2 linked regions of the Arabidopsis thaliana genome follow. Changing the gene in region 1 together with any one later gene gives a genetic interaction. Each region holds a gene or a part of one and is shown in the gene's direction. Other genes may lie near its edges. The genes, in order: MYB23 and GL2.

Region 1 (4,688 bases):
GGTATAGTTGTTCTTGGATATATACTTTAAGATTATGCCTATTTTGGAGAAATTTCTCTCATGAAATATTTTAGGAAGATCCTTTATGATTATATAATATCATATTTATGATACCATTTCTTAATATAGTAATTTATGTTTATTGAAAATTTTATCCCATGCAATGTCAAAACCTAGTAGAGAATTAAGATTGCTTAGCTTATTTTTTAGTCTATAGGACTTTACGAATACAATGTATGAAATACGAATGTTAGTGTAGTTAATTAATAGATTAGATGATCAACATCAACTAGTTGGGTTGATCTGAAAGTAAGTTTTGGAATTAAAAGGATCTATAGGTCCTATATCATTAATTATCCATAAAACTAATAAAAGTAGGCTAAATCAAGTGGAAGCTATAATCTATAGACGTACATAATTCATATGCCCGACATAATATATTTAGTGTAGTGATTATCATATTACATTACTGTCTAGAGTTTGGTATCACGGATACTTATGTTTTTGTATCAAAGATGTTTAATTCTATAGTTTAGTTATAACTTATAACTGATAACATTGTTTGGAGAATAGTAACTATTCTTAAAGCAAATTTTACATGTTAAACTCTTTTGTTTTTGTTTTTTTTTGTCAAAGTTGTGTATTCCTATTTCCTGAACAAAACTATTATATACAGACTATATTCGTATATTATATTTTTTGTTGTCAAAGTTGTATTTTCCTGTTTCATACTATATATATCGACTTCAACTCCCTCCATTGGGATCCGATCCAAAAAATAATACTCATATGAACATATACACACATGACATATTGACATATCTTAGCTGGATGAGCCAGAGGATCTTCTATGTTTGGTATTAATATAAAAAGTAAAAACTGCCTACTGTCTATCCCAAGGGAATATTATTGTGTCCAATAGTAATTACCTTCCTTTTTTTCAATTTTCACTTCTACTTAACTTGTTAGTTGGGATACACATGTCTACCTAGACATATCTTGTTACAGTTTTTACATACTTTATTAGATATGGATAAATTTGGTTATAAATAAATCCCAGATTTTTCTTTCAAAACATATTTACTATCAATACATTTTTAAAATGAAAAACAAAATGTGAGGCTTGAGTATAACATATGTAAAACAGGTGTAAAAAAGTAAGGAAACAGATATAGATATATAGTGTTACAAAAAAATATAATACAAATTTAATTTAATTTATAACTTTTGGTAAATTATAACGAGCAAGAAATTTGAAACTCGGAATATGAAGTAAATTATTTCGTTAGATCAATAAAATATTTTTCTAACGGGTGTTAACACACACCACAATTTTACGTGGACGTTTTTGCTCTTAAATCTCAACTAAATTTTAGATTTTTAATTTTTAGGCAAAGCGTTTCCAAATCTTTCTTATAAGAAAATATACAATAGAAGAAACATAGTACACCGTTTTCAACTAATAGTTGAGGAATATTGAGTTTATTCGGATCACATATTTTTAGTATTGTTCAACCAAAACCAACAAGATAGAGAGTCAACAAGCCCTTCCAGTTCTTTATATAGTTTCCCTACTAAATCCATCTATTAATCAATTTGAGAACAAACTCTTCAAATCCTCTATCTCCTTTTTTGATAAAAACATATTTTTACTTTGCCACAACTAACTAATACTATACTTTATTTTATTTGATGAATTCTCTCATATATTAGTAAGAAGAACATGTTGTCTATATCTACACCCGTTTAAATGGTTAAATCAATTTCGTTAGGTTGACTTATTGGTAAAAGAATGTAGGGATTGACTTTACCATATACGGACTTTTTGGAGAGACAACAGCAAACAAAACAAACATGTCCTTACGTATATATATATACGCACATATACATGTAAACAAAACAATATATACGTCACACGAATCATATATATATATAGAGTCAGGCTCGACTAATCATCACCGACTCAGCCACTTTCTCTCTCTCTCTCTCTCTCTCTCTCTCTCTCTCTCTCTCTCTCTCTCTCTCTCTCTCTCTCTCTCTCTCTCTCTCTCTCTCCTCGGGATCAAGAAAAGTGAAGAAGAATGAGAATGACAAGAGATGGAAAAGAACATGAATACAAGAAAGGTTTATGGACAGTGGAAGAAGACAAGATCCTCATGGATTATGTCCGAACTCATGGCCAGGGCCACTGGAACCGCATCGCCAAGAAAACTGGTATTTATACTCTCTCTTTCTATTATAGTACTCTCTTATTTCTTCTGGTATACTTGCTCTTACTTCTCTCTTTCTTGTCCTAAGAAATAAAAATTAGTACTAAAGATTGAAACTTTTGATGATAATTAGGGCTCAAGAGATGTGGGAAAAGCTGTAGGTTGAGATGGATGAACTACTTAAGCCCTAATGTTAACAGAGGCAATTTTACTGACCAAGAAGAAGATCTCATCATCAGACTCCACAAGCTCCTCGGCAACAGGTTCTTTTTTTTCTCCATATATTCAAAGATATATATTTGCTTAATTTTCTTTTATACAATTCTAATAGTATTATATATGTTAGATCATGTGTTTTGTTGTTCGGTGCTGCATTCACGTGAATCTTTAAATTGTTTATATGTGTACAGCTTGCTAGCTATATATCACATATATCTAATCCATAATTTATATATTTATAATATATGTTTTGTTGTTCGATCCTTAGTTCACGGTAATCTCTAAATTGTTTATTATTATTTATTTATTTTTGGTTGAAACATCTCTAAATTGTTTAGTTGTGATATAGATTACTTATATTTAACTGATATATTATATTCATTTATTCATAAAATAAGTGTATTTTATTAAGCTACTATTTACAAACGTCCACAAAGCAAATAATGGTTATTCAAAAATAGTAGTAAGAAACGGATCGTAAATTTGAATCAAAAATCTTAGATCTGTCCTTTGTTTTTTCGGCCATTAATTTGTATAGCTAGGTTTCTATTCAAAAAATATGCTTTCTCGAACCTAACAATGATTCATAATTGTACTCATTTATGGATCATCTGTATATATATACACATGTCTCATATAAACATCTACAACATACATAATCTGGCTACATGTATTACGCACATGCTCTATATAGGTCCATGCATAAGCATTAACTCCGTTTTACAAGATTTCTTGTTTCAAAAGTTTGCCACATATTTATAGCACATTCGAAAATCCATATAGTGTATAATACAATATTTATTTATTATAATTGAAGATTAAGAGACCACAAATAAAAATATTAATCTAACATCGTAAATTCTTTTAATATTTAGATGGTCGTTGATAGCGAAAAGAGTTCCGGGAAGAACAGACAACCAAGTAAAGAATTACTGGAACACACATCTCAGCAAGAAACTTGGTCTCGGAGATCATTCAACTGCCGTCAAAGCCGCATGCGGTGTAGAGTCTCCACCGTCTATGGCCCTTATAACCACAACGTCCTCCTCTCATCAAGAGATCTCCGGTGGAAAAAATTCAACTCTAAGGTTCGACACTTTAGTTGACGAATCCAAACTCAAACCAAAATCCAAACTAGTCCACGCAACACCAACTGACGTAGAAGTTGCAGCTACGGTTCCAAATCTGTTCGATACCTTTTGGGTTCTTGAAGACGACTTCGAGCTTAGTTCACTCACTATGATGGATTTTACTAATGGGTATTGCCTTTGAATATCTTTGATGATTAGCTTCTAAAAAGTAATTAATTATCGAATAATAGATTATAATGAACAATAATAATAATATGAATACAATTAAATTTTTTTCCGAATATTTGCTTGTAGCTTTTGTACTTTCTTTTGTAAAAGTAAGGATGATCAGTTGATAAAAAAATCTTATACTAGAAAGTTATTTGGTTATGTCCCTAATGTAACCAACTTAAATATCCTATTAGTTTACAAGTTAAGTGTTTATACTTCTACTTCATTCGTACATTGGCGTTCACATAAGATTTTCCGTATTTTGTACAGAAAAGAACAACTTAATCAAATTAAAGTGATAACTAGTGCATTTTCAGCTGTGAAAACTAACTCTTGGTTTCTATATCTAATTCTGGATTCTCCAAAAAAAAGGTCAATCCTAACTTTTAGTGTAGTGGAAAATACAGACTACCAATATCTAATTTATACTGTATCATTTAGTTTGGCATCTTTCTAATAATGATTTATACTCGAACATTTATAAATAAATGGTATAGTTTTAATATGTGAGAAAATCTAAAATGATAAAAGGAGAGTAAAATATAATCTTCGCTTGCATAAGGTCGGAAATTTTTTCATTTTAAGTCAACAAATATGGTCAACCGAGATAATCCAGCTGTTACAAGCCTTGATTCTACGTATCACCCGCTTGTAAGATTTTTATAAAATGAATGAGGTCTTGTCAGGTTAGGCTCTTTGTGTCTCTTAATTATACATTAATTACATTGACTAATGTTAGAGTTCTGAAATCAATGACGATTAATCTATCATACATATTCATACTTTAGATAAGACCAGACCTCGTACGTTGGAATTTGAAAGTTAGTTGAAGAAGCCAAGACTGTTAGAGATTATTTTTTCTGGTTGACTTAAATAAATTGTTCCAACAAAAAAGTAAACCAAATCATTAAAACGTATTTATGTCTTAAAATTAAAACCAATCACGTTAACGTGACTT
Region 2 (6,949 bases), on another chromosome or scaffold:
GGCGAATTTTTTTACCCAAAACCCTAATTAAGTAGAAGTATTAATCGAGAGCAAAAAAGAGAGAGAGAGTCAGTAGCCAAAAGGAATGAATGGAAGAAAGAAAAAGGAATCTCTATAGGCAGCATATATTCAAGTAATTAATTAAAGTAGATAGATAGAGCAAAAGGAGAGGTTAGGAGGCATTAATTAATTATTTAAGAGCATGTGGTGAATGTAAATGTTTATGGTTGCTTCCCTCTCTATACATTATGTATCTACCTTTCCTAACTAACAATTCCCTAGGCCGTACGACGACTAACAAAGAAAAAAACAAAAGAAACTGATAAAGCTTTTGAATTGTAGATAAATCATCTGCTACAGTTATACCATTATATATCTTATTAAAGACCTAAGTTTCCTTCACTATACGTCTTCGTCCATTTACGTACGTATTATACGGACGGTTTAAGCTACTATATCTATATTGTTAACAATGTAACTGTTGAGATATATCTTGCAATAATATGTCATGGTGTATGCATACGATAATATGAATCAATGTTTGAAATCTTGACGTGCCCGTGATACAATAAGATGATCAAAATTTCAAATTTTGTCAAATATTAAAACAACATACACATACACATGTGTCCAGGTGGCATTATAAAATGTATATATGGTGGATATAGAGAGAGAGGGAGATGCGTATAGTGAATAGGAAAGTAAGTAATAAAGAGAGGGTGGAGGAATTGGAAAGGGGTTGGAGGCAAACCCATAAAGAGCATTCATTTCCTTTTAAGGTCGCTGAAATTAATGAGTAACGATCGGTCAATGCCTCTCGCTGACCTTTTTCTTTTTTTACAACAACAAATAAAAATAAAATAAATTTCGACGTCTCTTTCCGCTGCTGAATTACATTTGTTGAATTAATTTTCTCTGCTTACGTACGTCTTCTAAACTTTCTCTATCCGAATTCTTTTTTAACTTTCTAACTTATATTCAACAACTCTTCTTTCCTGCCTTTACCGTTAGTCTAATTGTTTTCCTAATACTGCTACGTACATACCCCTACTATACTAGTCAGTGTATTAGATTCGATTGGGATTAATCCAGGAATATAGATATCCCATTAGTTTTTATAAAAATATTGGAAGAGGACAAGTCTCAAGCAATTTAGGGTTCCATGTAGCGCTGCAATATACTGTTAGTAACTCTCTCTTACCCATATATTGTATATGCTAATTCTTATCAAATATATATATATGCTTCTCCCAGAGTCCCAGTTTCCTATAATCCTGACGCAATTATACTAATAGAGCCAAGTTTACATAATAAAGTATATATGATTAATAGATAGGGTTTCTTATTAAGCCATATCTTAAATTAAGATGTGATGATAGCGTTTTGTATAAGTTACCAATTGTTTGAAAGAAGAGATCATCACAATAATAAATCATAAGTAGTAGTATATAGTAATAAATAAATACACAAGTCATAATAAGAGTAATGAGAGGATAATTAAGGAGGGAAGAAGAAAGCAGAAAATGCGGTTGGAGAATTAGGTGCTAAAAGTTAGTTGAGTCCATCTCAGTATCTAACGGTCAACTCTCTCTCTCTCTAGAGAAAACAATTAAGAAATCTGACATACACATATGTCTCTCTCTCTCTCTCTCTCTAGTCTATACACACAATTCAATTAAAGAAGAGACAGAGAAGTTCGTCTTTTTTGTTTTTATACCCTTAAATCAATCATGCAATTGTAACCCTTCCTTCTTATTCTCATTCCTTCCCCCCCTGTCTACAGTAATCTATAGCAACGCCATTATGTACTACTTTTAACGGATAATTTGCTCATGTTTCAATATGGCTTCATTGTATATATGTTCAAGTTCTTCTCAATCCTTTATATCATTCCAACATAATTCATATTAAAGTTAGTAGCTGAAATTGGAAGGCTGATATATTTTCCATAATTCAAATTTGAATTTTGCTCATCATATATATATGTATATATTAAAAATCGAATATTAAGAAGAAAAATGAAGTCGATCGATGGCTGCCAATGCTGTAGCTGGCCATGTTTTAAACTACTCAATTGTCGGATTGAAGTATAGCCAAAATATATAAAACCGTAAAAGGACTAAATATAATAATATAATAGGTATTAATTAATTAAAACTAATTAATTATAAAAGAAGCACCTAAAAGTCAAGAGCAGTAGAGAAATGGAAGAAATATCTGAAAAACGACCGCTTATATATATATGTATCATTGGAATTGAAGAGGCTATATATATATATATATATATATATATCGATCTTAGCTTATATATTAATTGAAAGTACATTTTGGTGTATAAGTAATTAAAGAAGAAAGAAAAAAAGAGAGATAATATATAAGGAAGAAGGAGTGCGAGGAGAAGAGGGAAGAGATCATAATTAAGCAAAGAAGCTAGCTAGGGACAGGATTTGTATGTCAATGGCCGTCGACATGTCTTCCAAACAACCCACCAAAGACTTTTTCTCCTCTCCAGCCCTCTCTCTATCTCTCGTATACTACTCTCTCTTTTCTACATACATGTACTTGCTAGCTCTCACATAAACATATATTATATATATGTCTTGATTTTAATGGAGATAGGAATATATACAGGCTGGGATATTCCGGAATGCATCCTCCGGCAGCACCAACCCTGAGGAGGATTTCCTGGGCAGAAGAGTAGTTGACGATGAGGATCGCACTGTGGAGATGAGCAGCGAGAACTCAGGACCCACGAGATCCAGATCAGAGGAGGATTTGGAGGGTGAGGATCACGACGATGAGGAGGAGGAAGAGGAGGACGGCGCAGCTGGAAACAAGGGCACTAATAAGAGAAAGAGGAAGAAGTATCATCGTCACACCACCGATCAGATCAGACACATGGAAGCGTACGTTCGATATAATTATTCCATCCTTACCTAGCTAACTAATTAAACCCCCCACCCCACTTTTTAATAAGTATAAACTTAATAATTATGCTTCACAAATTAAAACACTTAATTAGGGGATTCCGATTCATTAGGGCTAGCTTCTATCAAGAAACATTCATTAGTTGTTTTTTCCGGTGCTCATATTTCTTGATGTTTTATAAGTAATTATGATTTTAATCCCTTTCTTCGGTATATACTGTAGTACTTAATTAGTGGAAGAAGGAGAAGGTGTCTTGCGTTGAAGAGCAATTCTCAATTACGCACCTTCAATTCTCCATTAATTTCACATACATATATATACTTAGATGATGTATTCATACAAATATATTGCCGATCGATGATATATGATCCAGCATTAGTTTCAATGCGCTTATATGGTTTCGGACGCTTACTCGTTATTATTCCCCGTCTTCTCCTGACATGACTGTAGGTACATGCGCGTTATAACGTATATAAAGGCTTAAACAATAAAGTGTTAATTTGTTTCATCACAATTAAAGCTGATCAGTAATAGTATACATATGCCTAGTTAGGGTTCAGTTGCATGTAAAGATTTTCATCTTTTAGAAATGTCTGAATTTGAGGACGTTGCAGGCTATTCAAAGAGACACCACATCCGGACGAGAAGCAAAGACAGCAGCTGAGCAAGCAACTAGGGCTGGCCCCTCGCCAGGTCAAGTTCTGGTTCCAAAACCGCCGCACACAGATCAAGGTAATGTATATCTTACGTGATATGGATTTTTGTCTGACTATAGTAGTATATATATAGTTTATGAATCAATCATGCATGGACAGGCTATTCAAGAACGGCACGAGAACTCCCTGCTCAAGGCGGAACTAGAGAAGCTGCGAGAGGAAAACAAAGCCATGAGGGAGTCTTTTTCCAAGGCTAATTCCTCCTGCCCCAACTGCGGAGGAGGCCCCGATGATCTCCACCTCGAAAACTCCAAACTGAAAGCCGAGCTCGATAAGCTTCGTGCAGCTCTTGGACGCACTCCCTATCCCCTGCAGGCTTCATGCTCCGACGATCAAGAACACCGTCTCGGCTCTCTCGATTTCTACACGGGCGTCTTTGCCCTCGAGAAGTCCCGTATTGCCGAGATTTCTAACCGAGCCACCCTTGAACTCCAGAAGATGGCCACCTCAGGCGAACCTATGTGGCTCCGCAGCGTTGAGACTGGCCGTGAGATTCTCAACTACGATGAGTACCTCAAGGAGTTTCCCCAAGCGCAAGCCTCTTCGTTTCCTGGAAGGAAAACCATCGAAGCATCTAGAGATGCGGGGATTGTGTTTATGGACGCACATAAACTTGCCCAGAGTTTCATGGACGTGGTACTTTTCCATTATTTATTACTGTTACCAGCTACTATAACTTATTCTATGTGTATAAAAAGGAATTGATGTGTACGTGTAACGCGCAGGGACAATGGAAAGAGACATTTGCATGCTTGATCTCAAAGGCTGCAACGGTCGATGTTATCCGGCAAGGCGAAGGGCCTTCACGGATCGACGGGGCTATTCAGCTGGTGAGTACTCATCAATATATACATATAGTGATAATTGATGAATGACGACTCAGCTGATACATGGGATGGATATGGTTTATAACTATTGTGGCAGATGTTCGGAGAGATGCAGCTGCTCACTCCGGTCGTCCCCACAAGAGAAGTGTACTTCGTGAGAAGCTGCCGGCAGCTGAGCCCTGAGAAATGGGCAATAGTGGACGTCTCGGTCTCCGTGGAGGACAGCAACACGGAGAAGGAGGCTTCTCTTCTGAAATGTCGAAAACTCCCCTCCGGTTGCATCATCGAGGACACCTCCAACGGTCACTCCAAGGTCACCTGGGTGGAGCACCTCGACGTGTCTGCATCCACAGTTCAGCCTCTCTTCCGCTCCTTAGTCAACACCGGTTTGGCCTTTGGGGCTCGACACTGGGTCGCCACCCTTCAGCTCCATTGCGAACGCCTTGTCTTCTTCATGGCTACCAACGTCCCCACCAAAGACTCTCTCGGTCCGTCTATATATCCGGATCCTCCATTTACACTCTCTATCTTTCTTTATATATAACCTTTTCACTCCTCTGTTGATAATCAGGAGTTACAACTCTTGCCGGGAGAAAGAGTGTGCTGAAGATGGCTCAGAGAATGACACAAAGCTTCTACCGCGCCATTGCTGCATCAAGCTACCATCAATGGACCAAAATCACCACCAAAACTGGACAAGACATGCGGGTTTCTTCCAGGAAGAACCTTCATGATCCTGGCGAGCCCACGGGAGTCATTGTCTGCGCTTCTTCTTCGCTGTGGTTACCTGTTTCTCCAGCTCTTCTCTTCGATTTCTTTAGAGATGAAGCTCGTCGGCATGAGGTACCTTGTCAAATTCACACACATTTAAGCAAACAAGAAAAGCGGTTTCCACTCATATATTTATCTAACGATACATATCATCAGTGGGATGCTTTGTCAAACGGAGCTCATGTTCAGTCTATTGCAAACTTATCCAAGGGACAAGACAGAGGCAACTCAGTGGCAATCCAGGTGCGTTTATTTTGTCTTCTCCTCCTCTAAATCTGTCTAGGCCTTGATAATCTGAATTTCTATACATTTCCAGACAGTGAAATCGAGAGAAAAGAGCATATGGGTGCTGCAAGACAGCAGCACTAACTCGTATGAGTCGGTGGTGGTATACGCTCCCGTAGATATAAACACGACACAGCTGGTGCTCGCGGGACATGATCCAAGCAACATCCAAATCCTCCCCTCTGGATTCTCAATCATACCTGATGGAGTAGAGTCACGGCCACTGGTAATAACGTCTACACAAGACGACAGAAACAGCCAAGGAGGGTCGCTCCTGACACTCGCCCTCCAAACCCTCATCAACCCTTCTCCTGCAGCAAAGCTGAATATGGAGTCTGTGGAATCCGTGACAAACCTCGTCTCAGTCACACTACACAACATTAAGAGAAGTCTACAAATCGAAGATTGCTGATGACAAGTCACAGCAGATATTATTTACCTATATATAATTATATGATAATGTATAGCAGCAGTGCATTAAAGTTTTGTACAAAAACGACCAGCTCTCTCTTCTCCAATCCTATTATTATCCAACACCTTTTTGGTCCATTCCATTGGCAAATGAACCATAACAAGAGGAGCAAGAACCGTAGAATTAGCAGAAACAAAAGTCGGATCACTGAGACCACAAGCACACAGTAGCAACAGAAACATATTAATTCACATTCTAAATGTAACTGGAGGTGAAGATGAAGTAAGAGCAAACAATTGGTAGTCGGAAACAATCAGATTGAAAACACACTCATGGCATAAGCAATGAAATCACAAAAGCATTCCATAAATTACACTGGTTCCGGGATACACAACAAACAAACAGAAGCAGAGCAAAAAAAAGACGGCTTTACCAAAAGAAACAAAGAGCAATCATTCTCTACGCCGGCTGCTGAGACTCCAAGGGAAGGCCAAGGAGTTCATCTCCTCCGGCTTCGGCTTTCCTGGCGGCCCTTGCGATGACAGGAAGCGCCACAAATGATTTAGTCTTACTGATGGGTCTGCTCTTTTCCAGTCTGACCACGTCGCCAACCTTGAACTGATTATCGGGGTCGTGAGCTTGGTACTTCTTCTTCATCCTCACGCGCCTCTTGTACTTGGGGTGGGGAGCCAGCCTCACCACCTCCACCGCCACAGTCTTGTCACTGGTTGCGCACACCACGCGCCCCTGCATCGTTTTCATGGCTCTGATGACCGGAACTAAAGCGGGCATTCTGTGGTTCGGGAAGGAATTGGGCTTAGAGAGAGATGAGAGAGGAGTGGAGCCATGGGCGAACGGAGACGAAAGCTTGAGAGCTTGCAGAGATGAGGTTAGGGACGACGTTATCATCCTTCCGATTTGGAATCGAATCGATGAAAATGAAGATAAGGTGAGTACTACTACTATTTAGAAGGGATGTATACAGTATACAGATGGTAAATGGGTTTTAC

What was found.
Region 2: of MYB23 (region 1) and GL2, changing one enhances a phenotype caused by changing the other (phenotypic enhancement), as found in Arabidopsis thaliana (one study listed by BioGRID).

What each region holds. Positions count from the first base shown.
Region 1 is NC_003076.8:16,125,768-16,130,455, forward strand, and holds MYB23 (myb domain protein 23), read left to right. Parts: upstream 1-1,957; 5' UTR 1,958-2,081; coding exon 2,082-2,214; intron 2,215-2,343; coding exon 2,344-2,473; intron 2,474-3,304; coding exon 3,305-3,701; 3' UTR 3,702-3,894; downstream 3,895-4,688. UniProt on the Arabidopsis thaliana protein: Transcription activator, when associated with BHLH2/EGL3/MYC146 or BHLH12/MYC1. Regulates the epidermal cell fate specification. Mediates the formation of columellae and accumulation of mucilages on seed coats.
Region 2 is NC_003070.9:30,035,075-30,042,023, forward strand, and holds GL2 (HD-ZIP IV family of homeobox-leucine zipper protein with lipid-binding START domain-containing protein), read left to right. Parts: upstream 1-1,881; 5' UTR 1,882-2,018; coding exon 2,019-2,076; intron 2,077-2,301; exon of another isoform or gene 2,302-2,422; coding exon 2,423-2,529; exon of another isoform or gene 2,530-2,631; coding exon 2,632-2,906; intron 2,907-3,542; coding exon 3,543-3,660; intron 3,661-3,743; coding exon 3,744-4,280; intron 4,281-4,369; coding exon 4,370-4,474; intron 4,475-4,568; coding exon 4,569-4,959; coding exon of another isoform or gene 4,960-5,015; intron 5,016-5,042; coding exon 5,043-5,314; intron 5,315-5,398; coding exon 5,399-5,485; coding exon of another isoform or gene 5,486-5,515; intron 5,516-5,558; coding exon 5,559-5,939; 3' UTR 5,940-6,366; downstream 6,367-6,949. Other genes in the region: RPS17 (ribosomal protein S17), read right to left, coding at 6,399-6,848. UniProt on the Arabidopsis thaliana protein: Transcription factor involved in the determination of epidermal cell identity. Required for correct morphological development and maturation of trichomes. Regulates the frequency of trichome initiation and determines trichome spacing.